2 linked regions of the Lonchura striata genome follow. Each later gene encodes a partner of the first gene's protein in a complex. Links are inferred from orthologs where the notes say so. Each region holds a gene or a part of one and is shown on either strand. Other genes may lie near its edges.

Region 1 (6,592 bases):
TCAGCTTTAGAGAGAGACTGCTTCAGTCCAAGGACCTGGAAAATGCTTTCCCTTTTCTGCCAGCTCCAGACTGCCAGTGCTTCCCAGGATGAGATGCTGTAGGGAGCCCATTACCATGCCCAAGCAGCACTTACCCTGGCATTGTAAGCATCCAGCTGTGCATCTAGTTCTTCTGCAGAGAGCTGCTGTTTGGAAGTTCTTCCAGCTCCTCTGCCTCTCCCTCTGTTCCCGCCACGAGTCCCTCGCCTGTTGCCTCCACCTCCAAATCCCCCCGAGACCCCACGGTTTCTGGTCATGCCACCTCTGTTTACACTGTAAGTTTTAAAACAACTGTTTTAGTGCCTTCAGCGAAGCCAAACAGGACCCACGTTCCCCAGCAGGGAGGGTTCCTGCACATTCCCCTGCACTGCTTGGGCAGGGGCTCCCCCACCTCTGTGCTGGTCTCCGCTGCGTGTCGATCTGTGACGTCACCAGCTGGATGTTCATGGGGCGCCCTGGAGGAGGGAGAGCGTCCGTGAGCCCACGGGGCACGCGCGGGGCAGGAGCCGCACGGACGGGCGGGAGGGACGAGGGCGTGGGAGAAACGGGCACGAGGGGAGGGACACGGATGTGCTCTGCTCCAGCCACAGAAAAAGTCGTGGGGCTGGGCCACGCAGCCTCACCGTCCAAGGGGACCCCATTGTACTGCTTCATGGCCTTCAGCGCATCAGCCTTCCTCTCAAAATGCACATCTGCCGTTCCTAGGCTGCGGCCAGATCTGTCATAGTGCACAGCTGCCTTCTTCAAGGTCCCAAACTCCGCAAAGAGCTCCTGAGAATGACAGGGAAAGGAGCAGCCCATCCATCAATGCTGCAAGCACTGCAGCGCCCCACACAGACACGCTCAGCACCAGAGCTTGTCCCACCACCTCAGACAGCCTGGAAAAACACCCAGTGGCACAGGGGAGCACAGCCCATCAGCAAGATTTCAGGGAGCTGTCACAAGTGGCAAAACCAGGCAGGACTCCACGCTCACGTCCTGTAGGAGGCACATTACAGCCAGTGAAGCAGATTCAAGGGATGCTGACCTGTTTTTTTTTCCCAGGGGAACTGGGGGTCCTTGTTGAAGGTGAGTCAAAGTGGCAACAACTGAAAATACCGCAGACCCCAGACACCTTTCTCACAGAGGAGAATGACCATGTGATTGCAGGGATCCACGAGACTATGACACTTTTACTGTGCTAGACTTATGCCCATTAGAAACATATCCTAAAAATGGAGACCAACAAAGTCCTCTGCTGAGGTGTGTCCTTTGCTGCCACAAAAGTTGGAAATAAAGAGGCAGCAACAGAGCCACCAATTTTGTTTCTCAGGCACTATATCTGGGAAGCCAACAAGGTTACTGCACTGCCTGTGTCAACCTGCTCCCAAGTCACAACAGGGCTCTCAGCAGGGCTGCTGGAGAACTACAAAGGACACCTGGCAGATGCTTTCTGGACAGAATGTGGCAGGCAAGGCTGTCTCAGCTCTGCCCAGAGCCCAGGATCTGCTGCTTCTGCCTCAGAGGACACAAAGAGCAATGCTGCACAGCTCATTTGTGATCAGAGTACCTTCGGCCTCTCTTGGCACATAAAGAGGCATCAGCACAGGAACAAAACCAATCCCACATCTGAGGCAATGCTAAATTATGGGACATGGGGCCAAAGCCGTTGATTCAGCCCCCAGTGGGGGCTTGTGCAGCAGCAGGAAGGTGAGTCCTGGCTGCACACAAGGCACAGGGGCTGAGTTTTACACACTGCCACCTCACTGCAACAAACAAAAACTTATTTAAACTCAGTCTGAACTTATACGAGGAAAAGAGGTGGAGTGCAGCACACTACCCAGTGAGCAGGTGACTTGACAGAGCTGCTTTCCAGTTCTCCACACGCAGCCAGATGGGTGTGTGGAGAGGCTGAATGAATGAACTGATGAGGAAAGTCTAACACCACTGTTTTGGTTTTCCCTGGTGAGGGCACAAGAGCCAGAGGCCAGGGTGATGGCAACACTCTGTGGTGCAGGAGCCTCCACCAGGGATACATGGCCCTCAATTCCTGCACAGCTCACAGCCCACTCATGACCCTGTGACACCCCTCAGCCTCCAGCCCTGAGGCAGATGCCCCAAGCACCCGATTGCAGGCACTGTGGGCTCTGACCAGCCCAAACGGGGCATGGACACGACAGGTGGGGGACAGGACACCAAAGCACCAGCACAGGAGAGCTGTTCCTATGACAAATAACTACCTGGTTACACTGATAGGTGCATCCTTGGGAACCCCTGACACCCACCAGAGTGTGGTCTGACAAAGCAGCAGGCCCCACAGCACCATTACAGACAGCTACAGCTGTGCAGAGCAGGAGCTCAGAGTTCACAGTGCATCCTCCAACCACAGCGTGATCCAGCACAGTCACAGCATCGCTCCCTGTACACCGGGAAGTCACTTACAAAACACCTATAAACCGAATTTTCCAGCCCCCTGGAGACCACCACGATCGCCGCAAAGTAGGCATACCTAGTACCAACCCCATCAGCAGGGATTCACCCGGGAATCCTCGGCCCCGAGCACAAGCCGGAGCAGGGCCGGCGGGGTTCCCGCGGGTACCCGACCTGGGCCAGCGAATGAGGCCCCGCTCGCCGCGGCGCCTCCCCGAGCCGCACCTGGATGTCCGCATCCGAAACGCCGAAGTCCAGGTTGGAGACGAGCAGTTTTCCGCCGGTCTCCACGCCGGCCCCCGCCCCGAAGCCGCTGTCGAACAGGTCGTGCTGCCACTTCTCGGGGAGCTGCTTCGGCTGCAATGAGACCGGGACCTCGCTGACCGGCGCCAAGGCGCCGCAGCCGCGCCGGGAGTGGACAAAGGGCCGCCCGCGTCCGCGCCCCCGCCCCGCGCGGACCCTCCACCCCAGCCCGCCGCACCGCCGCGGCCTAAGCTCCGCCTGCCCGATCCGTACCCGGCTGTAGGGCGCGGGCCGGTTCCTGCCGCCGCCCCGGGCCATCACCGGCCGGTTCCGCACGGGGCCGCCGCCCGCGCGCCCGCCGCCAACGCCGCCCCGGCCGGGCCCGCCCCCGCGTGCGGTGCCGCCGCGGCCCCGGCCGCCCCGGCCGCCCCGGTTGGCCCCACGCTGGCTCCGGTTGAGCTTAATGATGTCGTCCAGGGACATGTCCATCTTGTCGGCCATGATGGCGGCACCGCTCCCTCCCGCACTTCCGGCCGCGCTGCGCCCGCGCCGGAAGCGGAAGAGGCGGGGCTGAGGCGCGGCGGGCGCGCGAAGCGCCGCGGGGCGGGAGCGCTTCCGGCGGGGCCGCGGCGGGACCGGCCGGGAGATGCGGGTGCGCGTGCGGAGCTGGCACGGAGTCGCGTCCTGGCTGTGGGTGGCGAACGACGAGAACTGCGGCATCTGCCGGATGGCCTTCAACGGCTGCTGCCCCGACTGTGAGTGCGGGAGCGGCACCGACACCGGGCACTGCGCACGGGGCGGGGCTGACGGTGTGTTCGTGCCGCAGGTAAGGTTCCCGGCGACGACTGCCCGCTGGTGTGGGGGCAGTGTTCGCACTGCTTCCACATGCACTGCATCCTCAAGTGGCTGAACTCGCAGCAGGTGCAGCAGCACTGCCCCATGTGCCGCCAGGAGTGGAAGTTCCGCGAGTGAGGACGGCCCCGGGAACGGGGTCGGGCCGTGGCCCACCCCCGGCCGGCTCGACCCCACTCAATAAATGTGCGACGCCAGTTGCGTGTCCGTGTCTGTGTCTGGTGCCCCGCGCTCGGGTCGGTGCACGGAGCGGGGGGGGCGAGAAGTGACCCCGCCGGGCGCCCCGCGGGCTCCGCCGCCCCGGCAGCCGAGCCACGCCTCTGAGGCGGGGGTGGGCGTACCGGGACCTGCGGCTGTAAAGGCGGCGGCCCCAGGTGCTACGGCCGCGCCGGCACCGTGCGCGCTGCTCGGTGGCCAGGGCTGGGGCTGGTGCTGCTCGTCCTGTGCCGCCCCGCCACTGCTCGGTGGGCAGGACCTGGGGCTGCTCTCCCACCTGTGCCGCTCGCCCAACACCAGCCTCTCCGGCACCGACGGCTCTGCCGAACCCGATCTCGCTGTGCTGCTGCCCAGCTCCGCCCTCTCGCCTCGGGGCTCCGCACCGCGGTGAGTACCGAGGCCGCCCGAGGGGCTCGGGCTGGGACGCTGGGCACGGTTCCGGAGCCCCCTCAACCCCGCGGGGCTCTGCAGCAGCCGGAGCAGGGTACCCACCGTGGCAGGCAGGCTAGCGCTCGCCCTCTGTGCTAGCCAGTGTTGCGCTGGCCCAGGCCCGCAGCCTGTGACGGTGCCTCCCGCACGTGCTGTGTGTGACAGATGTGGCCGTGGCGCTGCCAGGATGTCTTGGGTGTAAGGCAGGCTCGCCTCTGTCCTTGGACCCCACGGAGTGCATGGCTGCCTGAGCCTGAGCCGGTGCTGGTGGCTATGGTGTGACAATAAACATGCTCGGGATGGCTTTGTCTTCTCTGCGCTTGCTAGAGATGGGGAATCCACCCAGATCTGGGGAGCTCTGGGCTGCTGAGCCCTCCCCTCCCTCCTGTGGTGCTGAGGATGGCCCAAGGCCTGTAGGAGCTGCAGGGCACAATGCAGGGACAGCAGGGGTCAAGGGGCTGTGCAGGAGAGCAGGTGACTGAAGTCACAGGGTTCCTGTCCCTGTCTGCCCTCAGACAGAAAGACCCTGCTGCCCTTTGTGCTGCAGGAGACCTGGCACAGCCTCTGCCCAGCCCTGTTTGTTCAGGACAAACTCCTGCAGTGCCCATGGGAGGGAGCCATGAGCTGCATGGATGAGGTGCAAGTGTGGCGCTCTCTCTCAGTACCAGTACTGGGGTTTCAGCATGTGCTCCCTATGCCCCCTTCCTGGGTTCAAGCCCCCAAAAGACCAATGCACAACTCTTCAACATTTTATTAATGATCAGCAACAAAAGTTTACAAGAAAGAGGACACCAGACACAGCCTGGAAGGACCATCTGGCACAGTGCAGTGAGCTGCTAAGGATACCCACCATAGTATCCTGGAATGTAAGAGGCAAAAGGGGCTTACAGCTCAGGACCATTCTCCCAGCCCTGCACCTCCCCTTAGAGGCAGGCAAGCTGAGTGTCAGCAATCAGAAAACAACCCTAAAACTTCACCTGGCCAGGCCCTGCCCTCAGGTAATCCATCAGGCACAAGGTGGGCTCTGACAGCAGAAGCAAGTGGGGCTCTAAGCACAGTCCACACAAGGCATCAGGTCCTGCTGCCTTGCAAATGGGAGAGCCTTTGGGAAAAGGCCCCAGGGTCCCTATGCTTTGTGTGGAGAAATGCCTGGACCCAGCATCAGCTGCCACCTGCAGCCTGTCACTGGGGCAGCAAAGGATTTGCCTTTATCCAGCTCAACCCAGAGTAGCTCTGGGTTGCAGTGTGCAGGGATGGGAGCTGAGAAGAGGCAGTACAGTAAACCCCAGAGCCCAGCACCACCTCTGGCAGCCAGCCCCTTGTTTCTGAGGAAAAGCTACAGGAGGAACAACGTGAGCCCTGTCTTGTCCCCGAGGCTGCTCTCACTGACTGTCCAGCCACCCACACCACTGCCCAGGAGGCTGCTCTGCAATGCAGAGTCTGGAAGGGCAAGGGGGCATGGGCAGCTCCTCCATTCCCTCCTACTAAGAGCCAGAAATGGCAGAAGGTAAAAGCACATCAACATGTTAAAACATTAGTTATAATTAAAACCTTTTTGTCAAATCTCCTCCTGGGAAAAGGGACAGGGACTGATTAACGGAGATAAAACTAGGCAACGGAATCCCAACTCGTTATGTCTGCATAATTAGTGCAGGAGGAGCTAGGACAGCAAAAGGTAGGACAGCACATCCTGCGTGCCAGCAGTGCTGCCCCCCTTCAGGGGGCTCTTCCTGAAGAGCAGTTGCTCTACCAGAGGGTGAAGCTGCAGCACTCTGTGGCTCACACATCCCCACTCTGCAGCCTAGTGTTTCTCCTCCTCCAACCTTCTCATGGCCTCCAGCACAGCCAGCTCTTTTGCTTCTTTCTTCTGGTTGCGAGCTTCAAACTCCAGCCTGCAAATATCACACAATGCTGTAAGATTCTCATTCATCCAATATTGCTTGCAGGCAAAAGCACCTAGAGCGGGAGAGCATTGCCTTCTATGTGGTTCAATTCTGAGAGCACTTCAAAAACCCCCCAGGACTCCCAGAGCCTCTCCCAGAGCTTCCCATGGCTGTTGCCAGTACTCTGCAGTTCTGGGTTACACACGATTTCTTCCTCCCTCTGTGAAAGAAGCTGCTATTCCATTCTTGGGCTGTCCTGGGTGTTTTAACACCAAAATCAAATGTATCACTGATGTGAGCCAAGGTGCTGAAAGTGAAGGACTCAGACCTAAAAGACCAGAGCTCTGAAAGAAGCATGCTCTTTCCACAGGATACAGCAAAGAAAATTTATCATTAAAGGAGAAAAAACAATAAATGTGCTGTGCAGTTCTGACACAGCAGAGTTCAGCTGTTCCTTTCCCTGTACTGATTGGTACAATCACATTTACAGGCTGCCCAAGCCATGAAAGAGGAAGCCAAGT
Region 2 (6,592 bases), on another chromosome or scaffold:
TGAGCCACCTCCCTGACACACAGGGGACAGGGCTGCTCTGACTCTGGCAGTGGTTTGTTTTTGTTTGTTTGTACTATTATATTTGTATTTTTAATTTTCCTAATAAAGAACTGTTATTCCTATTCCTATATCTTGACCTGAGAACCTCTTAATTTCAAAATTATAATAATCCAGAGACAGGGAGTTTACAATTTCCATTTCAAGGAAGGCTTCCTTAGCAGACACCTGGCTTTTAAACCAAGACAGAGCCTGCAAACAAACCCCCAACTCAAACCCCACGACCTGGCCGAGGTGCAACCCCTCACACCACGCACGCAGAACAGGCAGGACCTGCCCCATCTCTGACCCCCCTAAATCCCAAGCTGCATTCCTCCCTCCCAGCCCCTCCTGGCTACCTCGTGGGTCTGGTCCCTGCCCTTCTTCAGCCGGATGTGGGCCAGGCGGTTCAGCTTCTTCAGGGTCATGAAGTGCACACAGCTCTGCACGCGCCGCTCGTCGATCTCCGAGGCCTGCGGGGTGGGAAGCAGGAGAAATGGCTGGCACCACCTCTGCAGGGAATTCCTGCCACAAAAGGGGTTCCACGCTTTGCTAGGGAGCCACATTTATGTCACTGGGGCTTCTGAGGGAGCCTCCTGCTGCCAGATCACAGGAGGGGGGTCCAGGCTCCTTAGAGAATCACTCCAGCCTTTTTTCCTCAGCAGCAGGAACAGAGCTGATCCAGCCTGAAGCACTTGACGTGTCCCAGGAGCCTGGCACAAGGGAGGCTATTCCAGAGCTCAATCTCTGCCCCAGGAACCCAAGACAAGGGAAACTTCCATTTCCAGAGCTCAATTCCTGCCCCAGGAGCCTGGCAAAGGGAGGCTGCTCCATTTCCAGAGCACAATTCCTGCCCCAGCAGCCTTGGACAAGGGAGGCTGCTCCATTTCCAGAGCTCAGTTCTTGCCCCAGCAGCCTGGCAAAGGGAGGCTGCTCCATTTCCCTGACTCTGCCCAGGAGACATCACAGCTCCTGCTGCCTTTCCTGTGGGATTAATGGGGAAACACCAAATGACAGACACGTTACACCACACGTGGAGGCCTCTCCTCACATTTTCCTTGATGCCCCGGCTCTTCAGCTCCTGGATCTCTGCCATGAGCCTCTGGAGCTCCTGGCAGGTCTCCCTGTAGAGCTCGTAGTCCTTGATGGGGTCACGCAGATCCACCTCACTCTCCTCGCTGTAGTACCTGACATCCTGCCAAGGCAAGGACACCTCCCGTGGCTCATCCCATCCCTCCCTCTGGAAAGGGCTCTGGGAGACCAGCTGCCATTTCTGCTGTACCCACGAGTCCCATGGCTTTACACAGGGAAAAGACTCAGTTCCAACAATCCCCAACCCACCAGTCACTAAAACACCTGGCAAGTTCAGGCTGTCTTTTATTATTATAGATTTGAATTGACACCGTTGGGGTGTCTGTGCAGGGCCAGGAGTTGGACTGGAGGATCCCTGTGAATCCTTTCCAACTCAGGATATTCCATGATCTACATGACACAGAGGACAAACCAGAAAGGTGATTCCTCCTCCTCCTCCTCCTCCACCCCACTCCCCACTCTGGCTGATCCTACACTATCCTGCTGCTCACGGGAGGGTTTGAAGGCACCATGCAAATCCCTGAGGGATCTTCCAGCTTTGTGCTCACTCTCCAGAGGAGTGTTTGTGTCTCCTGAAAGAGATGGAAGCAGGTTTAGGAATTCACAGCGGGAGTTTAGGAGGCATTGGAAGCTGGGGGAAACTGGATCTCACAATTCACAGAATTCCAGAATGCTTTGGGTGGGAAGGGAGGACTTTAAAGCCCATCCAGTCCCGTGGACAGGGACACCTTCCACTACCCCAGTTTTTCTCCAAGCCCCATCCAACCTGGCCTTGGACACTGCCAGGATGAGGCTGCCACAGCTTCTCTGGGCATTGTTTTCCAGCAGGGAAAGCCAGGCCAGCAGAGAGGGGTGTGGGCAGGTCCCGGGGCAGGTCTGTACCTGGTCCGTGTCGCCCTTGCCCCTCTTGCCCTCGGCTGGGACCCCGTCCGTGCGGATCACCTTGGGCTTCCTCTTCTTGCTGGACTCGGAGGACATGGTGCTGCCGGCAGGGCTGGGGAGGGGGCACAGGGTCAGTCTGTGGGGGCCAAACCTGCCTGGCCCAGGGCTCTCCCGGGCTCCCCCCGCCAGCCCCGCCTGGGCTCTGCAGCATCCCCTGTGCCTCCCTCCATCCTGCACCTCCCAGACCTTCCCAGCCCCCCGAGCAGCACAGCGAGCCCGGGGTCTGCTCCACCACAGCCCCCCGAGCAGCACAGCCCCTCCGGGGTCTGCTCCACCACAGCCCCCAGAGCAGCACAGCCAGCCTGGGGTCTCTGCCCCACCACAGCCCTCCAGAGCAGCACAGCGAGCCCGGGGTGTGCTCCACCACAGCCCCCCGAGCAGCACAGCCCCTCCGGGGTCTGCTCCACCACAGCCCCCCAGAGCAGCACAGCCAGCCTGGGGTCTCTGCCCCACCACAGCCCTCCAGAGCAGCACAGCGAGCCCGGGGTCTGCTCCACCACAACCCCCTGAGCAGCACAAGCCACCCGGGGGTCTCTGCTCCACCACAGTCACCCCAGAGCAGCACAGAGAGCCCGGGGTCTGCCCCACCACAGGCCCCCGAGCAGCACAGAGAGCCCGGGGTCTGCTCCACCACAGCCCCCCCGGACCCCCGCAGTGCCACTGAGCTCCCTGGGGACCCCGGCCCGAGCGCTCAGCCCCTCCCCGAGCCCCCGGGCTGCAGCACACGGGATTGCGGCTTCTGCCTCCCCAGAGCCTCCAGACCCCTCACAGAGCCGGGACCCTTCGCTCCTCCAGATCACCGCAGAGCCCCGCACATCCATCCCGGGGCGTCCGTTGCTCCGAGCCCCCCAGAGCCGGGACCCTCCATCTCTGCAGAGCCCCAGAGCCCAGCGCACCGGGCCCAGGACCCCTCACTCCTCCGGAGCCGCCCCGGGCCCTCACGCCGGGACTCTCTCTCTGAGCCCGAGGCCTCAGCGCTCCGCCAGCACGGCGCCTTCGCCCCTCCAGACCGGGACCCTCCACTTGCACTGAGCCCCTAGCACACCGGGGCACGGACCCGCCCCTCCGCAGCTTCCCCAGCCCAAGGGAACGGGGCCGTTCCCTCCATCCCCGCCCGGGCTCCCGCCTCACCCCCGGCTCTCACCGCGGCCTCGGCTCCGCGCCGCCCGGAAGTGACGTCACGGTACCACAGCGCGCGGCGCGGGGCGGCTGCCGCAGCGCCCCCTAGCGGCCTGGAGGACCCGCCGCGCACACCAGGGAGCGTGGCCTCGGCGGGTGGGCGTGGCCTGTCCAAAGGGGCGTGGTCACCATGTGAGACCCCACACACGCACAAACCGGGGGCACTGGTGGGACTGGGGGGGTTCCTGGTGCAGAAGGGCACCCACAGGAATGGGGGAGCCTGGATGGGGTCCCAGAAGCACTGATGGGTGTCCATGGGTTTGGGATAGGGTCCCTGATGGCACCCCTTGGTTGGAGGGGGCATGGGATGGGGTCCCTGATGGCACCCCTTGGTTGGGGGGGCATGGGATGGGGTCCCTGATGGCACCCCTTGGTTTGGGGGGCATGGGATGGGGTCCCTGATGGCACCCCTTGGTTGGGGAGCCATGGGATGGGGTCCCTGATGGCACCCCTTGGTTGGGGGGGCATGGGATGGGGTCCCTGATGGCACCCCGTGGTTGGGGAGCCATGGGATGGGGTCCCTGATGGCACCCCGTGGTTGGGGAGCCATGGGATGGGGTCCCCGATGGCACCCCTTGGTTTGGGGGGCATGGGATGGGGTCCCCGATGGCACCCCGTGGTTGGGGGGGCATGGGACGGGGTCCCTGATGGCACCCCGTGGTTGGGGGGGCATGGGATGGGGTCCCTGATGGCACTGGGGGTACCCATGGGCTTGGGATGGGATCCCCAGTGGGGTAGGAGGCACCCAGGGGCTTGGGAGGGGCACAGGAAGGAGTCATTGGTGGTGTGGGAGGATCCATGGGCTTGGGGGGGCTGGGGACGGGGTCCCCAGTGGCACTGGGGGGATCCCTGGGTTTGGAATAATGTGAGAAAAGGTCCCCAGTGGCACTGGGGGGATCCATGGGCTTGGAGGGTCATGGGATGGCATCCACTTTAGCACTGGGGGGTTTCAGGGGCTTGGGATGAGGTCCCCAATGGCCCTGGGGGTGTCCATGGGCTGGGCTGGGCCTTGGCTTGGGGGATCCAGTGGTGCTGGGGGCTCCAGGAGCTTGTGGGGTGCATTGCATGGGGTCCCTGGTGGTGCTGGCAGTATCCATGACCTTGTGGGGTGCATGGGATGGGGTCCCTGGTGGCACTGGGGTTTTGGGGGGGTCCCTCAGTGTATCCCAGCACCCATGGGTGGAGGTCTTTTGGCACAGGAAGCACCCATGTCATGGGGCAGGGCAGCCCCCCTGACACTAGCCTGGGGGGTCACACCAAGCACCCCCAGTCCCGCCCTCCCCACCCCGAGAGGGGCCTGGGCTTTAGCATATTAAATATTTAATTGGCAGCAAAGGCACCCGCTGGGCTCATCAGGAGCAATTAAGCCCCCCCCACCTGCACAGCCCCCCCAGCAGCACCACCCTGGGCACCCACCACAGCACGGGGGGCTCCCACCTTCCCCTCCCTGCCCTCCAGGGCACCCCAAAACGGGGTGGAGGAGAGAGCTGGGAGCCAGAGGGAGCAAAGCCCCCCAGTCCTTCCCCTGCAGGGCCGGGGCACGGGCAGGGGGGCCCTGGGGGTGCAGGGAGCCCCCCTGGCACGGCCCCAAATCACTGCAGGGGGGAGATCTTCAGGGGAATCATTATCCGGGATTCCATGGTCCGGATCAGCGGGACTGGGGGAGGAAAGGAGACACAGGTGAGGTTAGGGGGTCCCCAGCACGGGCAGGGGGTCCCCAGAGCGGCTGGGGTCCCACTCACCGGTGTAATAAACGTTCTCATCCCAGCCCCTCTTCCTCCAGGCTGCATTCCTGGTCTCCTCCCGGGACTGCAGATCCCTGTAGGCTGTGGGGAGAGCACAGGGGGGCACCCTGAGCCCCCCCAGCATAGCCCCCGGGCCGGGGGTCCCCCGGGGATGACCCCCCCTTACCCCAGAGGTGGTGCACCACGTAGAGCTCCCCGATCTGGGAGAAGAACCCCCCGACTGCCTCCTGGTTCTCCTGGCGGTACTTAATGGCCCGAGCCCTGCACGGAGCAGAGGACACATGGGGGGCTGCCCCAAGGGTCCCCCCTTCTCCAGAGGGAGCCTCTCCCCCCACCCTGGACCCCTCCACGCTGGGGAAGCAGCGCCTTACCAGTTGTTGCCCCACTCGATCATGGTCCCTGGCTGGGAACAGGGGAGGAAAACCAGTCAGAGCCCCCCTGCGTGCCCAGCTTGGAGTCTCCTCATCCAGGAAGGGGGAATTCGGGGGGCAGCCCACCAAAAGTGGGGTACACCAGCCTGAAGACCCCCCCCTGCAACGAGGCACAGGCTGATCCCCACCTTCAGCTTGTAGGTCCTGAGCTCGTAGATGTTTGGTCCCTGGCGGGGCTGGGGCTCATTCCAGAAGCTGAATTCCAGGAGCAGCTGGTTCCTGCGGGACAGCAGCATCCGGCTCCTCTCCTTGCGGAAGTCCAGGTACTCCTGGGGACAGCCCCAGCCGGGGGTTTCGGGGTGGGGGCGACCGGGGCTGTCGGGCACGGGGCTGTGGCCCCCACCCCAGCGGTACCTGGTTCTGCCTCAGCTTGTTCATGCAGTCCATGAGCGCCGGGTACCCGCCCGAGAAGCGCCACAGGTGCACTGCAAACAGGGGTTTTGGGGTGGGGACGGGGAGCAGCGCCCCAAAAATCCCACCGAAATCCCTGCCCGTGGCAGCAGGAGCCGCTGCCTGGCCTCACCTGCCTGGTCCTGCTCGCCGTACCACGTGTTCCAGTTGCCCACCAGGTCACAGGGGTAGTCGGGGTCCGAATGGAGCTTGGGCAGCACCTCCTCTCTGTGGGGGCACAGAGAGGCACACTTGGGGTGGGGGTCAGCACCCCAAAACCCTCCCAGTGCCCCTCTTCGCCCTCCCAGACAGGATACGGTGCAAGCTGGGGGATGCATCCATTTCACAGGGAGGGAAACTGAGGCACAGAACAGGGACACAGATCCACCCAGGAGCTCCACGAACCCTCCCACCCCTCCCGGCCCAGAACAGCACCCCAACACCCCGCTGGGATGCTGGGAAGCCCCCTCAGTGTGCTCACGTCAGCTGGTTGTAAGCTTCCAGGCATTCCGGCTTCACATTGTGAACTGCAGGGACAGGAGAGAGGGGCTGGGAACGGGGGAAGGATCCGGGAACGGGCTCCCATGGGTGAGGGGTGCAGCCCATCCGTGCCTGCCTTGCTCCCGGCAGGAGCACTCACACTGGATCTTGTAGAGGTTGCTGGTCTCCTTCTTGGAGAGGAGGTTGGAATGCGCGTCCTTGCGGGGATCCACCTTGTGCACGAAGAGCGAGCGGAACCAGCTGCCCTCCACGTCCCTGGAGTAGCCCCTGTGGCAC

The links.
Region 2: ALYREF (region 1) and THOC5 share a complex: the UniProt entries of both Homo sapiens proteins name them as parts of the transcription/export (TREX) complex. The link is inferred for Lonchura striata from reciprocal best matches to the Homo sapiens genes ALYREF and THOC5.

What each region holds. Positions count from the first base shown.
Region 1 is NC_134621.1:11,936,451-11,943,042, forward strand, and holds the start of ALYREF (THO complex subunit 4), read right to left. Parts: upstream 3,220-6,592; 5' UTR 3,193-3,219; coding exon 2,965-3,192; intron 2,806-2,964; coding exon 2,674-2,805; intron 811-2,673; coding exon 663-810; intron 495-662; coding exon 431-494; intron 313-430; coding exon 135-312; intron 1-134. Other genes in the region: ANAPC11 (anaphase-promoting complex subunit 11), read left to right, coding at 3,338-3,446, 3,518-3,663; PCYT2 (ethanolamine-phosphate cytidylyltransferase), read right to left, coding at 5,990-6,080. UniProt on the Homo sapiens protein: Functions as an mRNA export adapter; component of the transcription/export (TREX) complex which is thought to couple mRNA transcription, processing and nuclear export, and specifically associates with spliced mRNA and not with unspliced pre-mRNA.
Region 2 is NC_134620.1:2,954,412-2,961,003, reverse strand, and holds the start of THOC5 (THO complex subunit 5), read right to left. Parts: upstream 3,304-6,592; 5' UTR 3,215-3,303; exon of another isoform or gene 3,202-3,214; intron 2,123-3,201; 5' UTR 2,107-2,122; coding exon 2,011-2,106; intron 1,701-2,010; coding exon 1,620-1,700; intron 1,232-1,619; coding exon 1,088-1,231; intron 510-1,087; coding exon 396-509; intron 1-395. Other genes in the region: NIPSNAP1 (protein NipSnap homolog 1), read right to left, coding at 4,842-4,906, 4,992-5,075, 5,161-5,255, 5,366-5,397, 5,554-5,694, 5,780-5,850, 5,949-6,043, 6,297-6,342 and 1 more. UniProt on the Homo sapiens protein: Component of the THO subcomplex of the TREX complex which is thought to couple mRNA transcription, processing and nuclear export, and which specifically associates with spliced mRNA and not with unspliced pre-mRNA.